Macaca fascicularis: one gene and its partners. The protein of the gene in region 4 interacts with the protein of the main gene of each other region in a pairwise test. Links are inferred from orthologs where the notes say so. Each region holds a gene or a part of one and is shown on either strand. Other genes may lie near its edges. The genes, in order: TFIP11, CDR2, KIFC3, SMARCE1, CCDC136, TRIM54 and RALBP1.

Region 1 (3,500 bases), on a different chromosome or scaffold from region 4:
CCACCCAGTTCCCTCCCCCAGAAAGCCAAGCAAAACAGTGTACCTGAAGCCACTTGGGGAAGAAGTGCTTTTCAAGAAGTCCCACCAGACTAGAGACAGAGATCATCCCTTCCCAGTCGATCACCCAATAGAATGCATCCATGTGCTGCTGGTGGGGGTTAATGACTAGCTCACCAAGACACATCCCTGGAAGAGAAACCCGGTCTATAAGGCACAGCTTTAGTACTGGCAAAGCCACAGAAGCACAAAGAGCAAAGATAATGTCCGTTTTCCTCTCAGGTCACAACAACCTCCACCTCCTGGGTTCAAGTGACTCTTGTGCCTCAGCCTCCTAAGTAGCTGGGAGTACAGGTGTGCACCACCGCGGCCGGCTAATTTTTGTGTTTTTATTAGAGACAGGGTTTTGCCATGTTGCCCAGGCTGGTCTCAAACTCCTGATCTCAGGTGATCTGCCACCTCAGCCTCCCAAAGTGCTGGGATTACAGGCATGAGTCACGGCTCCTGGCGGTTTTTTTTTTTTTTTTTTTTTGAGACAGGGTCTCACCGTTGCCCAGGCTGGAGTGCAATGGCAGATCTCAGCTCACTGCAACCTCTGCCTCCCAGGTTCAAGCCATCCTCCCTAGTAGCTGGGACCACAGGCACATGCCACCACACCTGGCTAGTTTTTGTATTTTTGGTAGAGATGGGGTTTAACCATGTTGCTCAGGCTTTAATCTGCTTTAAAGGTCAAATTTAAGCTCCTGACATAGCAATTCTTAAAAAAAAATATATATATATATATATATATGTTTTTTTTTTTTGCTAAACCAGAAATAACTCCCTAATAATTTAGAATAAAATACCACAAAAATTTCAGAACTCCAATGGCTGTCCTGTTACCAGAAGCCAAAGCCAATCAGGAAAACCACAAGGCACAGAGTCCGATGTTGTTACTGTCAACTATTAGTCGCTGTTGTAAACAAACAGCGGAAAGGACCCAAGTTACATTTATGTTCAGCCTCTGAACAGCAAGGAATATTGTGTACTAAGCACTTTCATGAATACAAAGGCTATGCTTTAAATCACCACTGACCAAGAAACCAGGGCACCAAAGCTGCTGGGCTTGGACTGCATTTTCCCCATATCCTTACCCAGCTTGGGCACTATGTTTTTGACCATGAATGCTTCCCAGGAGCCAGGAGTGAAGACATCCTTCCAGGGCTGGAGGATAAGCTTGGCAGAGGAGTCACTGGGGTGCCACTTCTGCAGGGCACTGGACAGCTTGCTACGGATGGGGGAATAGAGCGGCTCCAGCCGTGCCTGCATAAGGGGCAACCATGGGTGGATCCAAGAGTGGATGGGAACAGTGTCTGTGAGCGGGTTCCAGTTTTCCACCTGCAATGTGGGGAGAAGAAACAGAAGAAACAGTTCATGTCGCCTATTGGGCAGTCACATAACACCCGTGTGGTTAAAGGCAAGAGCTGCCCCTGGAGGAGGCCCCATGCTCTCCAAGGCCCATGGTCCTTTGTACATCGCCAAACAAATATGCCCATTCATTTGATTACCTCTCAGAAATAGCATAATTCTAATTTTAGTGAAGAAATCAAGAAAATGAATTCCCTCCTGAGGGTGGCTTGGGGGGAAAAGTGCTGAGAAAAAGGCTGGAATTAACACTCTAGGTCAACAGTTGTGTTGACAAATTCTGTTAATTCCAGGCATTTTAACAGCACTGAGATAATGAAGACATAGACTGAACAAGTCCCTGTAGTTAGTGATGACAGTTGTTCCTGTGACTCTCACCCCACCTCCTTTTGCAGCTTGGGGAAGATGAGTTGGTCCAGTATGTTATCTAAGATCCACACAGGAATGATGTGCACCCAACTATCCAAAAAGTCCACCATCGGGTCACAGTTCCTTGGCTGCCACTGAGTGACAATATTTCGAACAAAAGGCATCCAGACTTCCCATATCAACCTATGGGAGAAAGGCAGAGGACAGGCTGGTTAATTACACTGATTGGTTTCAAAGAACACCACCACCGCCCACCTCTCTAGAATCAGAAATAAAAATGCAACAGCATGGAAATCCGATCAGAGGAAACCATCAGGCCAGTCACCATGCTGGCCAGACCTGAGCCTGCTTCTTCCTTGTTCTCGTGACTCTCCTCTCGAACTGAGGCCTTGGTCTCGTAGGCAGTGCCCGCCCACCTGGCAGAGCTGCTTTAGGGTCACAAGGGTCTCTTCCTAGGTATCAAGTGCTTTCCCACCTATAGGCTTCTATTCATGAGCTGACATCTCTCACCCTCTGATCACAGTTTCAATGTCACCTCCTCTAAGACCTCTGTCCTAACCCCCATTCCAAGGAGGTCGCTCCTGCAGTTTTCTATCGCTGTACCTGGTGTGCATCCTGCCTTTATTTGTTCACTACCTTATTTCCCATCTGCCTTTTCTGCTGTACTAAAGACAGAGGCTGTCTGCTGTACTAGGGTAAGCCCAGCACCTAGCACAAGCATGATATTCAACAGACATTTGACAAGTGTCAGCTGAATTCATGGCCAAATGTAATTGTACAACCACTATGGAAAACAGTGTGGAGATTCCTTAGAAAACTAAAAGTACAACCACCATTTGATCCAGCAATCCCACTACTGGGTATCTACCCAGAAGAAAAGAAGTCATGGCTGGGTGCGGTGGCTCACGCCTGTAAACCCAGCACTTTGGGAGGCCAAGGCAGGCGGATCATGAGGTCAAGAGATTGAGACTATCCTGGCCATCATGGTGAAACCCTGTGTCTACTAAAAATACAAAAGTTAGCTGGGCGTGGTGGTGCATGCCCGTAGTCCCAGCTACTTGGGAGGCTGAGGCAGGAGAATTGCTTGAACCCCGGAGGCAGAGGTTGCAGTGAGCCAAGATCACGCCACTGTACTCCAGCCTGGCGACAAAGCGAGACTTCATCTCAAAAAAAAAAACACAAAAGAAGTCATTTTATGAAAAAGATATTTGCTCACACAAGTTTACAGTAGCACAATTCACAACTGCAAAAATGTGGAACCAACCCAAATGCCCACCAATCAACAAGTAGATAAAGAAACTGGTACATATATATATAATGGAATATGACTCAGCCATAAAAAGGAATGAATTAATGGCATTCGCAGCAACCTGGTTGGAATTGGAGACTACTATTCTAAGTGAAGTAACTCAAGAATGGAAAACCAAACATCTTGTGTTTTCACTCATAAGCGGAAGCTAAGCTATGAGGATGCAAAGGCGTAAGAATGACACAATGGACTTTGGGGACTTGGGGAAAGGGTGAACGGGGTGCGGGATAAAAGACTACAAATTAAGCCAGGCACGGTGGCTCACGCCTGTAATCCCAGCACTTTGGGAGGCCAAGGCGGGTGGATCACGAGATCAGGGGATGGAGATCATCCTGGCCAACATGGTGAAACCCTGTCTCTACTAAAAATACAAACATTAGCTGGGTGTGGTGGTGCGTGCCTGTGATCCCAGCTACTCGGG
Region 2 (3,500 bases), on a different chromosome or scaffold from region 4:
CTAAGAAAGGACTACGTAATTCTTTACTTGTTTGAATTCCCAGCACCTGGTTCAGGAAATAATCAAAGTTTTAGTAAGTACTCATTATAATGAACTACTTCACCATTCTAGTCTTTTACATTTTTCTGTGCACAGACACAAGAGTCCTGGGTCTACTGTACCAGTTTGAGGGGGAAGCATTTATATAATTTAAGTACAGTCCCCTTGTGGCGGGGAGCATGGGTTGGGACATGGACAAAGGTGTTCTGATGGGACACTGTCTGGTTAATATCCATTATTATCTTTGCAGTCAAGTGGCCTACACATAACTGAACTACTTGAATGGGACCGTTTATAAGATTAGCAGCATGGAGGGCCATTTTAACGCCCTAGTCTAGCATCTTTCATTTTAGTTTTGTTAAGCTAGGCAAAAGGTATTATATTATTATATTTTTTTATTGAGACAAGGTCTCGCTCCCATCTCCTAACCTGGAGTGTACTGGCACAATCACGGCTCACTGTAGCCTTGACTTCCCAGGTTCAGGTGATTCTCCCACCTTTGTCTCCCAAGTAGCTGGGACTACAGGCACACGCCACCACACCAGACTAATTTTTATATTTTTTTGTAGAGATGGGGCTTCACCGGGTTGCCCAGGCTGGTCTCGAATTCCTGAGCTTGAGCAATCTGTCTCCCTCAGCATCCTAAAGTGCTGAGATTACAGGCATATGCCACCACACTCAGTCAAAAATGTAGTATTTTAATGATAAAATATCCAGCAAAAATGTCAACAAATCAAGATCACAGCAGAGAGAAAGCAACATGTATTTTATGATTATTTGAATGGAGCAAAACATCTGAACACATTGTGAAATAAGGAGCCATGATTTTTTTTTTTTTTTTTTTTCCAAATTTAGGATATGGTTTAGTAGTAGGTGGGAGGGATATGCGACCAAGGAGGAGGTGTAAGTTCCCTCTCTGGTGGGAAGTTCAACAGTGTGGGTAGTCGTCTTTCTTAAGCTAGGTGGTGGATATATGAGTATTCATAGTATTGTTCTCTTAAACACCATTCTGTATATCTTAAATATTGCATTTTTTAGGCTGGGTGTGGTGGCTCATGCCTGTAATACCAGCACTTTCGGAAGCCAAGGCAGGTGGATCACCTGAGGTCAGGAGTTCGAGACCAGCCTGGCCAACATGGTGAAACCCTATCTCTACTAAAAATACAAAAATTAGCTGGGCGTGGTGGCAGGCGCCTGTAATCCCAGCTACTCGGGAGGCGGTTCTTATTCTCAAAACAGTCTGTGTTAAAAAATAAAATGCTGTGTCTAATTGCAAGTGTTATTTTACCAGTATGTGATTGACATAACAACAACACATCAAAGTGTCAAAAGTGTAACTCTCCTGCCGAGTGAATTACCTCAATTTCCTGTAACTGCTCCTGATTGGTTGTATACATCTGCTGAAGAGAGTCCTCCAACTCTGTGTTCCGATCCAGTAATGTCTTCCCAAGCTCAGCAGCAAGTTGGAGATCTAGCACAACAAACGAATCTTAGAATACAAATGATCTCACATCAACAATTTATATAACCGAGTCCTTCAAAAAAGAACATGTAGTTTAGGTCACATCCCAATGGAAGGTTGAGTGGCACAGAAGGAAACCTGAGTTCTACTTAAAATTCAGTTAAACTGATGCCTCCAGCAGGTAAAGTATTCTCTTATGTACCCATACTTGTAAGAAGTGAAAAATAGTCATCTACTTTATGGAGATGCAGTTATTTGTTCAGGAATGATCATTCCGCAGTGTTACTTCTAAAATCCCATTTGCTAGTAGAATCGATGTATTCATATCCCGACAAGTCTACTTTTTTGAATGGACCCTTGAGCCAAAGTATAGGTGGAGCTTTCAAAAATCTTTAAAGTTCCCATGAATTTGGCTGCTGTGAATACAACTGTTAAAGTTTATTGTCATATATCCTGGGCTCCTAAGGGGACTAAAAATTATTCAGTCAAGAAAAGGAAAAATACATCAGCATTAAGAACACTGCCCCAGGTCACTCTACTTTTCTTTGTATCCTTCTGCAAGATGAACAACTAGAAAAGCAAAACAGCAATGTGGTTTTCGAGGTAATTACATGTCAGTAGCTCATACTTCCATTTAGCACAGAATTATATTTTATTTTAAATCTCATTTTTCAACTCTCTCTACTCTTAGGCATAATGTCCATAAAACAGGATTTGTTTATATTATACTCAACTCCCAGAAATGAAAATTTAGTTAACAATATAATAAAGGACACTAGTTGTAACATAGGTCATTGAAATACTTCTCTGCATAATAAATCTTATGGAGCAGGCCTTTGATACAGTGGGAAATGCACTGTACTCTGGGCAGGTAAGTCTCAGGCCCAGTTCTATCATTTACCAGAATACTTTCAATATGGTGACTTTAGAGGCCCCTATAATTAGTATTCTTGTTTAGAGAGATGACTTATTAATATGAGATATGTCTTATCAATATGAGATTGTGAAAATCAAATGAAATAATAATACATAAAGGAGTACTTTACAAACCAAGTTGCAATATGCATACAAAGTACTACTAATATTCACTGATTCACAAATGAATGTTTTTGTCGCCAGGCACTATGCTAAGCATTAGCTACAGAAGAGTGAATAAAATGAAGTCCTGCTTTGCTGATATTCCCAGATTAGTGGAGGAAGTCAGACAAATGAGTAACTAAACTCACGTACTGTGATAAACAGTATTCATGCATGCATGCATATACTCAATAATATTAGACACTATTCTAGGCACTGGGATACTGCCCAGGAGCCATAAGGAACTCACATTAAAAAAAAAATCCCTGCCCTCATGGAGCTTATATTCTACTGGGAGAAACAGCAGAATAAAACATGACAGTGATAAATGCTAAAGAGAAAAAATAAAGCAAGTGGCCGGGCGCGGTGGCTCAAGCCTGTAATCCCAGCACTTTGGGAGGCCGAGACGGGCGGATCACGAGGTCAGGAGATCGAGACCATCCTGGCTAACACGGTGAAACCCCGTCTCTACTAAAAAATACAAAAAACTAGCCGGGCGAGGTGGCGGGCGCCTGTAGTCCCAGCTACTCGGGAGGCTGAGGCAGGAGAATGGCGTAAACCCGGGAGGCGGAGCTTGCAGTGAGCCGAGATGGTGCCACTGCACTCCAGCCTGGGTGACAGAGCCAGACTCCGTCTCAAAAAAATAAATAAATAAATAAAGCAAGAAAGAAGTACAGGAGGAGTGTGGATGTGGGAGGCTGAAATTTAAGAGCATGTGACTAGGGCCACATTAGAATTGATATATGAAGGAACGGAATAAGTGACCCATGTAGATCCGTGTAGGGAAACAGCACTCCAGGCAGAGGCAAGGCAAGTGCAAAGCCCCTGGGAGGAAGCATGACTGAGCCATTAAGGAGGCTGAGGAGAGTGGAGCAGAATGTATTGGGCGGGGTGTCAAATCAGAGGGGCTCCACGATGGCCA
Region 3 (3,500 bases), on a different chromosome or scaffold from region 4:
ATTCCAGTTACTGAGGAGGCTGAGGCAGGAGAATCACTTGAACCCGGGAGGTGGAGGTTGCAGTGAACCAAGATCGTGCCACTACACTCTAGCCTGGGTGACAGCGAGACTCTATCTCAAAAACAAAAAACATGCTACATACATATTTTTTAAAAAATTATTTATTAGAGACAGGGTTCATTATGTTGCCCAGGCTGGTCTTGAACTCCTGGCTTCAAGCAGTCCTCCTGCCTTGGCCTCCCACAGTGCTGAGATTATTGGTGTGAGCCACCATGACTGGCCGATACAGTCTTATCTCTGTTAGGTTTAACTTAATTCTTTCAAGCTGTACTTGTATATATGAGAATAGCCAGTGCCTCTTAAGTGCCTCCTACATGTCGAGCTGTTTATAGCCGTTAGCTCCTTGAATTTGTATGATAGCTTTGCAAAGACTAATATATTTTGGGAACAGAATATAGTTCTTCTTTTTTTTTTTTTTTTTTTTTTTTTTTTTGAGACGGAGTCTTGCTCTGTCGCCCAGGCTGGAGTGCAGTGGCGCGATCTTGGCTCACTGCAAGCTCCGCCTCCCGGGTTCACGCCATTCTCCTGCCTCAGCCTCCTGAGTAGCTAGGACTACAGGCGCCCACAACCGCGCCCGGCTAATTTTTTGTATTTTTAGTAGAGACGGGGTTTCACCGTGGTCTCGATCTCCTGACCTTGTGATCCGCCCGCCTCGGCCTCCCAAAGTGCTGGGATTACAGGCGTGAGCCACCGCGCCCGGCTATAGTTCTTCTTTAAAAGAGTATGTCAATAATACGTGGACATGGTGAAAAGTCAAACTCCATAGCGGGGCATCAGGTGAATAGGAAAGGCCTCTCTGCCACCCACCCAACTCCCCCAGTGTGGCCTCTCAGCATTTCCCCCTGACCATTCTGAGCATGCTTAAGCCAATTGATATGTGTGTGTGTGAATATATGGTAGGCCCCTCCCCCACTCACAGGTTCTGCGCTCCCAGATTCAAGCAACCACAGATCAAAAATATTTGAAAAAGATTAAAAATAACAGTACAACATTTAAAAATAATAGAAGTAAAAATAACATATAACAACTATTTACACAGCATTTTTTTTTTTTTTTTTGAGACAGTGTTTCGCTCTTGTTGCCCAGGCTGGAGTGCAATGGCGGGATCTCAGCTTACTGCAACCTCTACCTCCCGGGTTCAAGTGACTCTCCTGCCTCAGCCTCCTCAGTAGCTGGGATTACAGGCACATGCCACCATGCCCAGCTAGGTTTTTTTGTTGTTGTTGTTGATTTGTATTTTTAATAGAGGCAGGACTTCACCATGTTGGCCAGGCTGGTTTTGAACTCCTGACCTCAGGTGATCTGCTCACCTTGACCTCCCCAAGTGCTGGGATTACAGGCATGAGCCACCGCACCCAGCCCCTACCTGGCATTTTCATTGTATTAGGTATTGTAAGTAACCTGGAGATGATTTAAAGGACATGGGCGGGGCTGGGCACAGTGGCTCATGCCTGTAATCATAACACTTCAGGAGGCTGAGGCAGGAGGAGCACTTGAGCCCAGGAGTTCAAGACAAGTCTGGACAACATAGTGGGACCCCATCTCTACAAAAATAAAAAAACTAGCTGAGTGCTGTGTCCTGCACCTGTAGTCCCAGCTACTCTGGAGGCTGAGGTGGGAGGATCGCTTGGGCCTGGGAAGTCGAGGCTACAGTGAGCCAAGATAACACCATTCATGGTGAGTTTCCACCACGTCCACGGAGCTGTGATTGCACTCCAGCCTGGGCAACAGAGCAAGACCCTGTCTCAAAAAAGTAAAGTATATGGGAGGATATGTGTAGGTCACAGGCAAACACTATATCATTTTATATCTGGGGCTTGAGCATCTGTGGAGTTTTATATCCTCCATGGTTACCAAGGGACGACTGTATACACTGTATACACTTTCCTTCTACCCCAGAAAGGGGACGTGTGATTCTGTATACAGCGGGATACTGTATGTGTGATTTTGCATCTTCTTTCCCCCTGTGAAATGTAACTGGGAGATCTTTATAGATTCATGATTTAGATGGTATTATCCCTGTTTTCCAGATGTGAAAATTGAGGCTTAAAGACATTGAGTCAGCAGTCTCAGATCCCCAGCTACTCAGGGGCAGAGCTGGAATTTGAGTCTGGTTGAATCACATAGTCAAGCACTCATGCTATGGTGTGGAGGCTGAGTCCTGGCTCTATGCTTATTAGCAGAGCAGCCTTGAGCTGTCAGCTTAGAGTCTCTGGGGCTCAGTTTCATCATCTGTAAAATGGGGATGGCAGCAGTACCTACCCAGAGGGGTGATTGCAATAGTCTGACATGTGATAGTGTGTGTCAGGTACTCAGCCAGGGGCAGGAGGCAGTGAGCACCCCTCAGGGGTGGGCAGTTGGGCCAGCAAGGCTGATGGAGCTGACCCCCTGACAGTGGTGTGCACCCCCCACCAGATAGGCCAGGCCATCGAGGAGGTCAACAGCAACAACCAGGAGCTGCTGCGCAAGTACCGCCGTGAGCTGCAGCTGCGCAAGAAGTGCCACAACGAGCTCGTGCGGCTGAAAGGTGACTGCAGGAGGGCTGGGGGTGGACACCAGCCTCGGGGCCTCGACCTGGCTTGGCAGTCATGCCTGGAGCTCACCCCACCGTTGAGGCGCTATTCTAATCCCATCTCTGTAGATAAGGAAACAGAGGCACAGAGAAGGCAGGGAACTTGCTCAAAGCCACAGGGATATTAAATGGTCCGCCTTGGATTTGAACTTGAGTCTGTCCAGCTCAGAAGCCCTGGCCCCAGTGCTTGGGCAGGTGACTCCCCAGGCCCTGGATGGCCGAGGGGTGTGGTACTGCAGCACTGGGTTGTTGGCAGCTGGAAAGCCACTTGTTCTGACCTGGGGCCTGGTCAAGCTTGAGACTCCACCATGCACTGCATGGAGCTCTAGAGTGCCTGCTCTGTGCCAGGTGCCGTTCCAGCCCGAGGCTATGGTCATGGCCCCACAGACTGCCTCCTGGTGCTCACTTTAGTATGAGAATGGACAATGGTGATTGTCAGGGAACCCCAACCCTGCCCCTTTCCAGGGCTGAGACAGGCTCTCCTGGGTATGGGACAGGCAAATGTGTTGAGGGGCTTCCCAGAGAAGGCAAAGTTAGAGCTGAGACCTGGATGGTGAGCTGGAACAGATGGGTGAAAAGGGAGGGCAGGTGGGCCATGCTGGAAGTGGGGGATGTTTCCTCTTCATTACAAGAACACAGGAATCCCAACGAAGGCTGGAAGTAGATGGTGGCATGACCAGCTCATGCTGCCAGATACCCTTGTGGCTGCCCCACTATCTGGGCCCTCAGATACACCATCAGTCATCACCTGCTGCCAGGCCTATATGCCCATCTGATTCCTAAGCCCTGTCCTGCCATTCAGAAGGCTCTTTGCTCACTGGGGCCCAAGCCCCTCATTGTCTAGATGAAGAAACTGAAGTCCAGGGAG
Region 4 (2,350 bases):
TGCTGCATTTTGTATTTTTTAAATCTTAGCTAGACTCATGTAATAAATGATCTAAAGTTCAAAACATTATTTGGTACACTGTTTGAAAGTATGAACCATTAAAACAGGAGATATGATTGTAAAGCCTGATCCTGTCTTGCAGCGAAAACTAGAAGCTGAACTTCTTCAAATAGAGGAACGACACCAGGAGAAGAAGAGGAAATTCCTGGAAAGCACAGATTCATTTAACAATGAACTTAAAAGGGTATCTGTTTAATATGTTAACTATACTTTTATCACCGTACCTGTTACTTTACTTTTCCTCATTCTTTTTTCCAAAATAGTATTTTTATTGAATGTTGTTCACTTTGAAACAGGGCTAACTTTACTATAAAACCTGTAAGATCTTTTTTTTTTTATAAAATTGTTCCCATTCTCTTGACAAAATTGCAATAAATTTGAAATATCATGAAGTATATGCATATCTACTAGGCCTATAAATGCTAGAGCCCTCTGATATTTTAAACTCCCATACAGTCATTAACTACTTTCATTTTATTGTGATTTATTCATCAAATGTCTTCATTAAATGTAATTTATAGTTTGCACTTTGCATTCAGACAAGGAAATCTAGTTGGTAGCCCAGAATGTAAAATGGAAGCCTTATGTATACCCCAGAATTTTCACTATTTTGCCTCACCAGCTGCTCTGGAATATCCCATATTATATGACTGCTAGAGCAGTTTTCTTTTCTTGTAGACCCAAGAGTTTCAGAGAAGACCTAGAACCACATTTTTTTGCGCACATACACAGACACACAGGTGTATAGATATATATATAGTTCATAGGCAAGGAAACCAACTTTTGAAAGAATATATCTGGCTCAGAAATTATAAGGAAAAACATTACCGAGTTCTGTTTTTTTCTGACTAGTTGTGCGGTCTGAAAGTAGAAGTGGATATGGAGAAAATTGCAGCTGAGATTGCACAGGCAGAGGAACAGGCCCGCAAAAGGCAGGAGGAAAGGGAGAAGGAGGCCGCAGAGCAAGCTGAGCGCAGTCAGAGCAGCATCGTTCCTGAGGAAGAACAAGCAGCCAACAAAGGCGAGGAGAAGAAAGACGATGAGAACATTCCAATGGAGACAGGTAACCCACTAGCAACAAACGCAAAGGAAGTGCCAAGACTTTGTATGGCTGTCTTTAATTTGGGTTTTTCTTTCTAAGTGCAGGTATTCTGGTACCTGCCACTGAGGGTGATTCCGAGTACTAGATTTGACATGATACTGACATTCAAAATTTTAACCTTTAATGCTTACATTATTTATCAAGATGTGGTTATTACTGTTAAGATTAATTGTCTTTGGTGTCCTAGGACAGCATTCTGCAAAGTAATACCTGTAAGGCAATCCTGCCCATCACTTGTTTTTGTAAATAAAACTGGAACACAGCCACACTTGTTTGTTTACATACTGTCTGTGGCTGCTTTGGGGCTAAAACAGTATAGTTGAGTAGTTGGAGCAAAAACTGCCTGACCTGCGAAGTCTAAAATATTTTCTGTCTGGCTCTTTACAGAAAAAAATTGCCAGCTCTATCCTAGAAAAACCCTTACTTCTAGGTATACTGATTTTCCTGATTAAAAGCATCCCTCAAGGTAAAAAAATAAAATTAAAAATAACTTGTATAAATAAAACTTACATAAAGTACTGATTACATTGATCATCACTTGTAATTTTGAGATCACCTTACCTCATAGCACTGTTTTGACACTGCCTAGTACACTGTGTAAACAGGACTCAGCTAAAAGTAGTTATGGAAAACAAAACCAAAGGCTTCCTGGAGCATCGTTGAAAGAAGTGGGAGGGACAGTAGTGATACTTGGTTCTCAAATGACAACCTCCAAGTGCCATACTTTGTACTCAAATGACAGCCATCTGGAAAACATGAATGGAATATAGATATCTTTCCCAGGTATTTCTGCAAAATTTAATCCAGCAGATTAACATTTTAAATAGTCATATTTTAAGTTTAACTCTCTGAGTCTCTTTCTGTTTTGTATGAACGTGAATTCATTCATCTTAATGAATTTGGAGCATGAGCACATTTTTGTGGTTAAAACAAAAGCTTGCAAAATAAAATACTGATTTTTGCTAATTTTACAACTAGACGAACACTCAGTCGTTTGCCTCTGTTTTGGCATCTATGAATGGGGCATGTCTTATGCTTAAGGTTTGCAGGTCTTTACTCAGGTTCTGTCCTCCTAGTTCAAGGAAAAAACCTGAAGAAAATTGTTTGAGACTATTAGAGCCAAAACCTCATGCTTTTAATTTCTTACAGGAAACAGCCCAGCATGACTTTAAACAAAGTGTCTAAAAG
Region 5 (3,500 bases), on a different chromosome or scaffold from region 4:
AGTCTCCCTGCCCACCCCTAGTTGTAAAATCAGCCTGGCCTTGAACGCGGCAATATGAAGAACTGGAATCAAAGTCTCACTATTAGTTCCTGTATCTCCTGCCCCAATTCTGAATCTGGCCTCTGGGCATGTTTCCCAGGCTCTCTGGGCCTGGCTTCTTGGCGCTGATGTCCAGGATGAGATCTGATCAGTTAAGGAAATATTTTATACCTGGTTCCCAGCTGTGTTACCCAGGCCTGCAGCCTGGACATCTGCTGCCCCTGGAATATGATCCAGCCTCACAGTGTTGACTTCTGCTACTCCCTGGTTCTCCTTGTTCAGAATAAGATCTGAATGAATAGATTCGGCCTAAACCGAAACTGTCTACCTGCCCCTCCTCACCCACGCTGAGACCTCAGAACAACTTTAGCCCCCAACCCTGAATAGAATTGTACGGTGATCTCCACCTGTGTCACCTCATCGGTATGACCCCTTGCTGGTACTTGAAAGGCATCGATTTTCTGGTCTAACCCCTGTGACCTTGCTCTGTTATTGCCACCAAAGTTCCAATGAAGATAGTGTGGTCAGTACTAAGAACCCCATGTGCTAGGAATTCTTCTCTTGGAAATGAAAGGGCCCAAATTTGCCTCACAGATAACACCAAAGGTGAACGATTTTGATAACTGAGAACCGTACTTTTCCACTCAAGAAAAAGATGACATGTTTAGAGTCAGTCCAAAGGAATCCAACTATACATCTTACTAGGAATGAGTCAAATGATCCGATGACAGATTTTGGGTCATCCCAGCTCTGCCCTGAGTGCTCACAGTGCTTCAACTGGGCACTGTGAATATCAATATGATAAAGGATAATGGCATCTAGGTGAGGTCCTCAGGCTGTATCTAAAAGCCACCTCTTAATGGAGCCTGAAAGAGGTCACAGGTGGTGAAGGGCAGGGCTTTAGCCTTATCCTTACCCCTGGCCAAACAGGCCTTCCCAACTCTGACCCTTCAGCAGTGCCCACTCTCCCTGTCATGCTGCTGTGCTCAGGAGAACTGTCTCCCTACCTCTTGCTATGGTTACCTTGTTTCGATTATATTTTGAGGACTTAGCCAATTTGGAATCATCGGGATTCTCCAGCACTTCCTGGAAATGAGACTCTTTGAAACGTCGCAGCTCTTCGTGGATCTCTAATTGTTCTTTTAATACACAGTCCTGGTTCTGTATCAGCTTCTTCTGTTCCTCCTGCATGCCTTGGTAGAGCAGCTGCAGCTCACACAGGTCTTCTAACTTGGTGAGTAGCTCCTGACTCTGAGGCGGAGTAGAAGGAAGGAGGCAAGGGATTGTGGTGGTTACACAGAAAGTCCGATGCCTCCTTGGTGCCTCATCCCTGCTGTGAACAATTCCCTGAAGAATCTCAGGGCTGGCTTCACAGAGCCCATCTGGGGACAGGGGGAGTCTTTCTATGGAGACCAGCTAAAAGTAGCAATGGTTTCTTACGTTGGGATATATTTTGTCATTTACAAAGTGGTTTCAGGTGCATTTTCTCCAGATGGACTAAATAACTAAATATAAACTGCTGCACAGATTCCAGAGTATAAAAGGTATTTTAAGATTTAAAGCCCTTATAAGAAAAACTCTAATTGGCTCTATGGAGCTTTTTGGTTTGGGGAGAGTGGTGAGAAAGTAAGGAGTCATTGGTAAGAAGAAGAAAAAGTTCAACCTCCACCCTTCTATTTTTCCCTAGTCACACAGGGAAGCTTCTCAGAGCAGCTTCCCCAGTTAGCAGCTGCCTCTGGCGGAGTTACCTTGAGTAAGAGGCCACTCTTGGGCAGTGGCAGTGTGAGCCTGTGCAGCTCTTCCTGCAGCTGGCCCTGCTCCTCCTGCATCCTCCTCTGGTCCTCCAGGAGCTCACACTGCTCCATCTGCAGCTGCCCCATCTCCTTCTGGCTGGCCTTGTACTTTTCCTGCAATTCTGTCAGTCTGGACAGCAGTGTGTCACACTGTGGGTGGGGGCGGGTGCGGAGGGGGTGGTTACTCTGTAAGGTAAGCTTCCTGGGTGGCTAACAGAGCACTTCCGCGCTCTCCTGCCTCTTGTGATTCTCTCCCTGTGCAGTCACTTTGGACTGGTCACCCCAAGCCACAATGCACCCTGGCTGTTTAGATACCGATTGGGGATCCCCCACAGGCTGGTCTTTCAGAGCAGGTTGCTCTAGACTGGTGGCTGGCCTTGCTCTAAACTTCTACCATTCCTTTCTGGGGGCAGTTTGATGGCGAATGCTATCGATGCCCCTTTCCTCTTCTCTGGCCCTTTCCTTTGGTGTATACACCATATTCCCACCCTGCTGGGAACTCTTAGCTCCTGTTATTCTCATTAACCCCAGTTGTTTTTGAATGCAATTACACTCCTTACCAATAAGGACCTAATTTCACCCTAATTTTTCCCATTTTTGCTTTCCTAATTCTCTCTTTATATCTTTAGAAAGTATGCGCTATTGCTGAATTTGGATTGAGAAGTCTAAATCATCCCATTTCCAAAAACCCAAATCTTCCAGTATCAGACAGATCTCAATGCTGTTTTATGGCTAGAGAAAAAAACAGGTGCTGTCTGCCAGCATGCTTCTCCTTTCCCATCGTTTTTCCCATTAGGGGAAGAGGTGACGAGCAAGTCACGGATCCCCTGGGCTCCTAAATTGAGTAGAAGTGGAAAAAGGAGGAAACGTGAGCCTGGATATAGAAAGGCAAAGAGACTGTTGAGGTAGCCCAAATAACCTTCCCAGTCCTCTGTCTCCTGAAGGCCTTTCCCCAGGGACAGGAACTACTGAGTTTCTGGCAGAATGTGACCAGCTCCACCATCTTTAGAGACTCTTGGGCCTTTTCTCCAACATGCTTCAACACCTTTCCATTTCCCATCAGTAATCAGGAGCTGAAAGTGCTCAACAGGATAAATGATAACGGCTTGCATTTTATACACTATGGAAAAGAAAAAAAATGAATAAGCCCTTATTTATCACTATCAGGATTTACTACTAAAAGGAAGTGAGATAAGAGTAGAATTCTCTTCCATTTAAAGAGGGCACAATTCAACCTTCAACAATTTAATTACTGGCAGGGCATGGCAGCTCATGCCTGTCATCGAAGCTTGGGAGGCCGAGGCAGGTGGATTACCTGAGGTCAGGAGTTCGAGACCAGCCTGACCAACATGGTGAAACCTCGTCTCAACTAAAAATACAAAAATTAGCCAGGCGCGGTGGCATGTGCCTGTAGTCCCAGCTACTCGGGAGGCTGAGACAGGAAAATCGCTTGAAACCAGGAGGCAGAGGCTGCAGTGAGCTGAGATCGTGTCACTGCACTCCAGCCTGGGTGACAGAGTGAGACTCTGTTTCAACAACAACAACAACAACAAAGAATTTAACTACTTCAAAGTCACAGAATAAATCCTGAAAGAGCCTAGGTCCTTCTCTTGCCTAGTCAGCACTCTATATTCCATTGTCTACATACATGGAATCATGTGTAAAACC
Region 6 (3,969 bases), on a different chromosome or scaffold from region 4:
TCTGGACTCTTTTCCCACTCTTGCCTCTTTGTGCTGCTGTTTCGTATCCTCCTCACACCGTGTATTTCCTACCCACTCAGGGTCACTAGCTACTAACTCCTCAGACTTCTCTTCCTGGACTGGGAGAAGGGCTAAAGAATGGCGGTAAATAAAAGAGCTTTTGTCCAATCCCAAGGCATATTTTGGACCCAGAAAAGACAAATTGTGTCTGGGGTGGAGGAAAAAGGCCTAAAGAAATTGCTTCTTGGCTTTTTGGCTAATATCAAGTGGAGAAAAAGACCTGTAGGAGAAAAAGAAGACCAGTGCTCACAACTGGGGCGAGCCTGGCTTGGAGAGGAGGAGTCCTGGACAACTGTGGAGCTGGGGCAGAGGCTTCCTGGAGCCTTATGATTATGACTTTGTCAGTGCTCTAAAATTTCCCTGGAGGTTGATTCCCTGGGTGCCCAAAATAGGTCCCTGGCATTCATGTCCTTTCTGCCCAGCTCACCTTCTCCCAATTTCCTAACAAATTTGAAGTCCTTAGAGTGGCTCCAGGGATGTGTTCACGAACCAGAATCCCACATTTCCTCGGGCGCATGCTCATAGGTAGGTCCAGGCCTTGGCACAGTACTCATTTCTAGCCTCTTGAGCTTCATTTCCTAGGGTGATATAAGAAAAGGCAGGCAAGAACAAAAATGAGCCAGAGGTATTGGACAAGAGGCTTGATGGAGTCTCTGGAGCTGCTGTTCTGAATCACACAGTCTTGAGGAGGAGGACCAGGGTCACTGGCTGAGCCTGTGGAGGAGGCAACTGCTACTGACTCTAAGTCTGGCAAGATCTTTCCTCCCACCCTGAGCTATGTATGGGTGCTTCTCACACAGGCAGATTTAGATTCTGTGTCACTGTCCTGGAAGAAGGGCCCAAGCCAGAGCAGGGGTCCTGGGCTCAGAGGAGCCTTCAGAGTGAGAGGGCAGCACCTTTGCTGACCCACCTTTCACCGTAAGCAGTGGTGCTTGCCCCTGCCCTTGCTCAGGGGAGTCACCCATTCCTGAGTGAGTCAGGGTCACTCACTCCGTGACAGCTGTGGCTCGCCTTACATGAGCTAAATTGGGAATTGGAATGTCATGCAGATGCCCCTTGTCTCCCCACCCCCACAGTAAAATTAATCTCCTCTCTGGGGAGTAAGGGACAAACAGTGCTACCCACAGAGTGAACAAGAGAGAGTCATTTGGGAAACAAAAGGAGGACTTTACAGAGAGAGAGGGATAGCTAAAACTACGTGAGCCTGCCGAGGGTGCAGAGCAGAAAGTAGAGACAGAAGTGTCTGAAGACTGCTATCTGGGACGAGACAAGTTGTTAAAGGGACAGGAGAGAGAGCAGAGCTATTTCAAGAGTGAGCCACAGAAGGGAATCCACAGGCCGTCTGAGTGAGGAAGGGTCTACAGACAGTGAGTGAAGGCCAGGAGCAGGACCCAAGCCAGGGTAGGCACAACCACCGAGGGGATGAACTTCACCGTGGGTTTCAAGCCGCTGCTAGGGGATGCACACAGCATGGACAACCTGGAGAAGCAGCTCATCTGCCCCATCTGCCTGGAGATGTTCTCCAAACCAGTGGTGATCCTGCCCTGCCAACACAACCTGTGCCGCAAGTGTGCCAACGACGTCTTCCAGGTGGGCGCCAGGGATGGGGCAGGGCCAGGTAAAGCAATGCAGACCTGTGGGGGACTGATCAGGTCAGAGCTAAGACCCCAGAAAGTGATGGATAGAGTGCTCTCTGAGGTAGGTGGTGGCTGTTGTGGCTGGAGAGCAGAAGGGCTGGGGTCCAAGCAAATCCCAGAGCAAGCATGAGTCAGCAGCTGCCCTGCAGGCTGGCAGGTACAGCCTGTCCATAGACGGCAGCTGGAGTGCTGGGATCTGCTGAGGAAAGGAGACCCTGTGGAAACTGGGAGGGAGGGGATCCTACACCGGCCTTTTAAGAGCCTGTGCCAGACTCTGCATTCCAGTTTGGAGTTTCACACTTTGAGAGCATTGCGGAAAATACGGAGAAAAGATTAATGAGATAATGAAACATTAAAAAACAAACAGAAAAAACCCAACCCTGTGAGAAAGCTCCATAATGGCAGTAAAACGATTCGTGTTTAAGGAAAGTTCAGGGCATCCGTTGTGGGGGACAGAGTTAGACGCAGTGGGCAGGAGACTGGGAACTCTCCCCAACTTGAGTTCATACCTGTTACCTCCAGATTGTTGAGTAAAGAGGCCTACTGGTTCAAAGCTATTGAGGTCACTTGACAAGAAGAGAGAAGGCAAAGAAATTTACTTTTAGAAGTCTAGCCAGTTTTGGTTTATTTGTGGTCATGGAGCCAAGCATAGCTAATCAAATTCACAGATACCATTTTAGCCACTGGTTTAGAAATAAAAGCTGCATATACCAGAATGGATTATAAGTGGGCTTTTTTTTCTTTTCCTGTGCTACCGGGGAGGTTCTAGTAGGCTATGAAATGGAACAGAGATCAGGGTGAGGGGCAAAGGCACACACACACACACACACACACACACACACACGCGGCCTTGCCGATTAAGCAAAAGCTCTGAATGTGGCCGGGCGTGGTGGCTCACGCCTGTAATCCCAGCACTTTGGGAGGCGAGGCCGGCGGATCACGAGGTCAGGAGTTCGAGACCGGCCTGGCCAATATGGTGAAACCCCATCTCTACCAAAAATACAAAAATTAGCTAGGCGTGGTGGCAGGCGCCTGTAGTCCCAGCTCCTCAGGAGGCTGAGGCAGGAGAATCACTTGAACCCAGGAGGCGGAGGTTGCCATGAGTCGAGATCATGCCATTGTACTCTGACCTGGGTGACAGAGCAAGACTCTGTCTCAAAAACACAAAAACAAACCCTGAATAGACCAGAGCTGGCTTAGTATGTGTGTCAGTGATACGGAACATCCCAAACAAGTATTCTTCAGTGTCAGAAATGATGAGGAAATGTGTTAAACACAAGGGATTTTTAACCTAACCAAGAAAATACTTCCCTCTTAAGTTCCTCGGGGCAGCTTGTTTGGGAAAGGAATGGACTGGCTAGGTCCCGCCATCCCACGATGTACCCTGTGACCCGCCCCTTGTATGTCTGCTGTGTGTCATCTTCACTGCAGACCAGCACTCTGTGGTCTCTCCTGCCATCTTCCCATTGAGGCCCATTCCCTCTCCTATTCTTTTATGTGTCCAAACCTGCCATTATTCAGCTCCAGAGTATCTCAGAGGCAGTAGATTTTCCGTCTCGGGGGACCCAGACCAAATGCTATGCCTCCTCATCCTGGGCATGAAGTCCTGCATGAGAGGCAATGCTTTGCCCACCATCTTGGTGTTTCCTTGGTCTGAGGAATTCCGAACATCCTTCAGGCTGAGATGCCTAGGAGGAAATGGCGGAAAGATTTTGCCATCATTTCTCATGAACTGACAGTGAAACATCCTCTCACTGGAACTTGAAATGTGTGAAAACAAAGAGAAGTTTTGAAAGTTAAGGTGACGTGTCCTATAGAAAAGTGGTCAGAATGTCCAAGAGCATTCCTGGGTGCCTCTGTCGTCTGGCAGAGGGGCCCAGGAGCAGTCCCCATACATGGAGGCTAGAATGTGTTCAAGTGACATGCTTGTTTAAGTCAACCCTTTCTACCCAAGCACACTGTTTCAGTTCCAGAAAGCTCTGGAATACTGATCTGGGCTCAGAGAGACCTTGGAATGGCTTGGGGCAAACCCTGTACAGAATATTTGGAGATAACGTGATACCCAGGGCTTTGGGGTGGCCCTGTGGGTCTGGAGTGATGTGTGTCGTTTGAGGTGCAGAGCAGCCCTGGCCCCTCCAAGGAGGAAGAGTGAAGAGCTCATCCCTTGCTGCTTATTTGGGAGGGCCTGGTGGGAGGCTGACCCAGTTCTTCAGCTGCACTCAAGTCTGTATATCTCAATATATCTCAGTAGATCTCCCTCGGAAAGATGAGC
Region 7 (3,500 bases), on a different chromosome or scaffold from region 4:
CCCACTCTACTCCTCTCTGAGTGACAGAGCAAAATTCTATCTCTAAAAAATACTCTTCTGTTATTCATTGGTTACACTTTGAAAGCAAAATGTTTCTCAGATTTTAGTTTGATCATTCATATTAGGATTTCAGGATCTGGTAAATATTACATTGATACTTAATATTACTATAATATAATAGAGATGGTTGTATCATAGAAGAGTCAAGTGTGTTGTAAGAGTAAGTTTTAGGTAGGAAGTAATTTCTTGTAGTAGCTTTTCAGCCAACCTAATGCCCTGGTCTCCTAGCATGTGAACATCCACACTTAAATGCTGGCTGTGTCCAGGTATTTGTTTCTGGAGTGAGGGCTTTCAACCTCAACCCAGTTTTACTGCTGTGGTGCTCTCACTTCCCTCACGGTCCTCATTCAGCCCATTGTAGCTGTTAAAATATCTCAAAGTAAGTTCAAAATAAAGAACATAAGATGTTTTAGCTGGGCATGGTGGCTCATGCCTGTAATCGCAGCACTTTGGGAAGCTGAGGTGGGTAGATCATTTGAGGTCAGTAGTTCGAGACCAGCCTGGCCAACATGGTGAAACCCCATCTCTACTGAAAATACAAAAAAATCAATCAGGCGTGGTGGCGCACACCTGTAATCCCAGCTTACCAGAGAGGCTGAGGCAGGAAAATCGCTTGAACCCATGAGGTGGAGCTTGCAGTGAGCTGAGATTGTGCCACAGTACTCTAGCCTGGGCTACAGAGCGAGACTCCATCTCAAAACAAAAAAACAAAACAATACTCAAAAAAACATAAGGTGTTTTAATCAGTTAATACTGTAGTGATAGAAAAAAAAAACAAATGAATGGGCATCAGCTTCTCTATCCTTTTCTTGGTTTTTTTTTTTCCTCTTCAATTCTTTCTGGTGCTTGAATACATGATTTAACTCATATTTTATGAGTCTTCTTCTTAAATTGACCATTTTCTTCTTAAATTGACCATTAACTAGCAAAGACTGTGTTGTCAGTACTGGGTAGAATTTTCTTTATGTGTCCAGGATTAAAGGATATATTATGTTAGACACAAATAACTGAAATAGAATGATAATTTTAATGGTTTTCTTGTAAATCTTTTTTTCTTAGATTAGCAATCGAGTCCTGTATGTGTTTTTCACACATGTGCAAGAACTCTTTGGAAATGTGGTACTAAAGCAAGTGACGAAACCTCTGCGATGGTCTAACATGGCCACGATGCCCACACTGCCAGAGACCCAGGCGGGCATCAAGGAGGAGATCAGGAGACAGGTGTGTGCACCCTGCCTGCCACAGCCTGCGTCTGCATTGGCCATTGTGGAGTCCAGTGGTGATGGGCTCTTGTTTCCTGAGCACTTTCTGTGTGTCTGGAGCTATGTGAGGCACACTGAAGTCAGAAATTCCCATCTGGTACTGTTTCATGCTGAATAAGTCGGAATACCATGGTGGAAAGAGCATAGTTTTTGGAATCAAAAGACCTGGCTTTAAATTCTTGCTCTGCTCTCAGTTATAACTGATTTTAGGCGAATTCTTAACCACCTTAAGCGCTGGTGTTCTTGCTTTAAAATGGGCCCTCTTAAAGGATTGGTGTGAAGATTTTGCCACAAATGAGACAATACATGAAACAGGCCAGGCACGCTGTAAATAGTCTAAAAATGTTTGCTTTTTCTGGACAAGGTTGCTGTCATCAGCCATATTTTATAGATAAGAATATTAAAATTTGGGGAAGTTAAGTAACATGATTATTTATTATAGACCCAAGAGTTGAGCCCAAATCCTGGGCGTTTTTACTATGTTATTTTGATGGAAGTAACCATGCCGTGTTTGTGTGGGTGTGTGTAATCAAGACTAAATAAGAAAGTTAATTACATTTGATTATTTATTTGCATGCACTTTATCAAACCCCTGCTTGCTTTTCCTCCCTTGTGTCTGCCGTGAGCTCCCAGTTCTTACTAGTTAATGATGATGACATTGGAGATGGGGATGTTAAGTATTATTGAACCAATACAAATTAGCGAATAATTCATTGGCAAAACAGTAAGAATGATTTTTCAATCATATCAGTGCCATTATTTTACTCTAATGAAATAAAGGATAATTGAAAAATAGTTGATTCTTCATCTTTAGAAATTGCATGTGTTGTTTAAGATAAGAGGATATGGAATGCAACTTAGTGTGTGGCATTGCTTTCTAGGAGTTTCTTTTGAATTGTTTACATCGAGATCTGCAGGGCGGGATAAAGGATTTGTCTAAAGAAGAAAGATTATGGGAAGTACAAAGAATTTTGACAGCCCTCAAAAGAAAACTCAGAGAAGCTAAAAGACAGGTGGGTTACTAGTTTGATACCTAATGTTTATAATAGAACGTGTTGGAGTCTTTTATGTCCTTTATGTGCTCTTTGAAGTATTTTCTTTCTTTCCTTTTTCTTTTGATATTGACCAGGCTGGTCTCAAACTCTTGGCCTCAAGTAATCCTCCCACCTCGGCCTCCCCCAAAGTGCTGGGATTACAGGCATGAGCCACCACGCCCAGCCCAAGTTCTTTCTTTTAAGAATATTATAGATAATGTCACTTGAAGTGAACTTCTCTGGTGGGAAATTTATTCACTAAAATGTTTCTAGTCCTGTATTATTGATATTGCAGCCTGGTGTCAGTCACATGTTTCAATGTAATCTAGAACGTTTTTTTAATTTTTTTTGAGACAGGATCTCGCTCTGTCACCCAGGCTGGAGTGCAATGGCATGATAATGGTTCACTGTAGCCTCGACCTCCTGGGCTCAAGGGATCCTCCTACCTCAGCGTTCTGAGTACTGAGTAGGTGGGCCTACAGGTGTGTGCCACCATGCTCAGCTGATTTTTTATTGCTTGTAGAAATGGGGTCTTGTTATGTTGCCCAGGCTGGTCTCAAACTTCTGGGCTCAAGCAGTCCTCCCACCTCCCAAAGTGCTGGGATTATAGGCATAAGCCACCATGCCTGGCCTAGAAAGTTTTGTTTTAATTAAAAATGAATTTACTAAAAAATGTGTCATTTCCTGCTCGGTTATACCTGTAAACAAGGCTTTCTGCAGATGAGAAGCAGGCTGGATGGTGACACACCTTCGGGGACTGCTGGAATTTGAGGCATTTAGTATCAGCTCTTTGGAAATGTAGTGATGAGGGTTGCCTGGAAGGTCCTGAAGATCAGGAGAGATTCTATTTATGTAATAAGAAGAAGAGGGGCATGCAGTACCTGATGAGTTTAGGGTACACCAGTCAGACTTTTGAGTTCCCTCTTGTTTAGTGTGTGTTGCTTGGTTCTGGGACTGTGAGTGGACCAGCCACAGCAACAGTAAAATCCCAGATCTCTGGATCACCTTAAAATCCACATTGCAGATCCACTGCAGCATCTAAACAGCACATCCAAGGATCATTAGTTAGCCCTTGCCTGAATTGGGGAACATGATAGTAGGTCTCTGTTGTGGTTGTGTTAAAAAGACAAAGGCAACCTGAGTC

What was found.
Region 1: the proteins of SMARCE1 (region 4) and TFIP11 interact in binary tests that used the Homo sapiens proteins (3 or more experiments, as listed by UniProt). The two-hybrid records come from large-scale screens. The link is inferred for Macaca fascicularis from reciprocal best matches to the Homo sapiens genes SMARCE1 and TFIP11.
Region 2: the proteins of SMARCE1 (region 4) and CDR2 interact in binary tests that used the Homo sapiens proteins (3 or more experiments, as listed by UniProt). The two-hybrid records come from large-scale screens. The link is inferred for Macaca fascicularis from reciprocal best matches to the Homo sapiens genes SMARCE1 and CDR2.
Region 3: the proteins of SMARCE1 (region 4) and KIFC3 interact in binary tests that used the Homo sapiens proteins (3 or more experiments, as listed by UniProt). The two-hybrid records come from large-scale screens. The link is inferred for Macaca fascicularis from reciprocal best matches to the Homo sapiens genes SMARCE1 and KIFC3.
Region 5: the proteins of SMARCE1 (region 4) and CCDC136 interact in binary tests that used the Homo sapiens proteins (3 or more experiments, as listed by UniProt). The two-hybrid records come from large-scale screens. The link is inferred for Macaca fascicularis from reciprocal best matches to the Homo sapiens genes SMARCE1 and CCDC136.
Region 6: the proteins of SMARCE1 (region 4) and TRIM54 interact in binary tests that used the Homo sapiens proteins (3 or more experiments, as listed by UniProt). The two-hybrid records come from large-scale screens. The link is inferred for Macaca fascicularis from reciprocal best matches to the Homo sapiens genes SMARCE1 and TRIM54.
Region 7: the proteins of SMARCE1 (region 4) and RALBP1 interact in binary tests that used the Homo sapiens proteins (3 or more experiments, as listed by UniProt). The two-hybrid records come from large-scale screens. The link is inferred for Macaca fascicularis from reciprocal best matches to the Homo sapiens genes SMARCE1 and RALBP1.

What each region holds. Positions count from the first base shown.
Region 1 is NC_088384.1:25,186,325-25,189,824, reverse strand, and holds part of TFIP11 (tuftelin-interacting protein 11), read right to left. Parts: intron 1,954-3,500; coding exon 1,785-1,953; intron 1,375-1,784; coding exon 1,131-1,374; intron 187-1,130; coding exon 44-186; intron 1-43. UniProt on the Homo sapiens protein: Involved in pre-mRNA splicing, specifically in spliceosome disassembly during late-stage splicing events. Intron turnover seems to proceed through reactions in two lariat-intron associated complexes termed Intron Large (IL) and Intron Small (IS).
Region 2 is NC_088394.1:21,353,323-21,356,822, forward strand, and holds part of CDR2 (cerebellar degeneration-related protein 2), read right to left. Parts: intron 1,511-3,500; coding exon 1,398-1,510; intron 1-1,397.
Region 3 is NC_088394.1:53,871,698-53,875,197, reverse strand, and holds part of KIFC3 (kinesin-like protein KIFC3), read left to right. Parts: intron 1-2,475; coding exon 2,476-2,587; intron 2,588-3,500. UniProt on the Homo sapiens protein: Minus-end microtubule-dependent motor protein. Involved in apically targeted transport. Required for zonula adherens maintenance.
Region 4 is NC_088390.1:61,713,819-61,716,168, reverse strand, and holds part of SMARCE1 (SWI/SNF-related matrix-associated actin-dependent regulator of chromatin subfamily E member 1), read left to right. Parts: intron 1-142; coding exon 143-244; intron 245-912; coding exon 913-1,123; intron 1,124-1,549; coding exon of another isoform or gene 1,550-1,614; exon of another isoform or gene 1,615-1,628; intron 1,629-2,350. UniProt on the Homo sapiens protein: Involved in transcriptional activation and repression of select genes by chromatin remodeling (alteration of DNA-nucleosome topology).
Region 5 is NC_088377.1:170,267,989-170,271,488, reverse strand, and holds part of CCDC136 (coiled-coil domain-containing protein 136), read right to left. Parts: intron 1,983-3,500; coding exon 1,788-1,982; intron 1,291-1,787; coding exon 1,063-1,290; intron 1-1,062. UniProt on the Homo sapiens protein: May play a role in acrosome formation in spermatogenesis and in fertilization.
Region 6 is NC_088387.1:94,935,227-94,939,195, reverse strand, and holds the start of TRIM54 (tripartite motif-containing protein 54), read left to right. Parts: upstream 1-1,169; 5' UTR 1,170-1,482; coding exon 1,483-1,650; intron 1,651-3,969. UniProt on the Homo sapiens protein: May bind and stabilize microtubules during myotubes formation.
Region 7 is NC_088392.1:77,877,596-77,881,095, forward strand, and holds part of RALBP1 (ralA-binding protein 1), read left to right. Parts: intron 1-1,119; coding exon 1,120-1,281; intron 1,282-2,203; coding exon 2,204-2,335; intron 2,336-3,500. UniProt on the Homo sapiens protein: Multifunctional protein that functions as a downstream effector of RALA and RALB. As a GTPase-activating protein/GAP can inactivate CDC42 and RAC1 by stimulating their GTPase activity.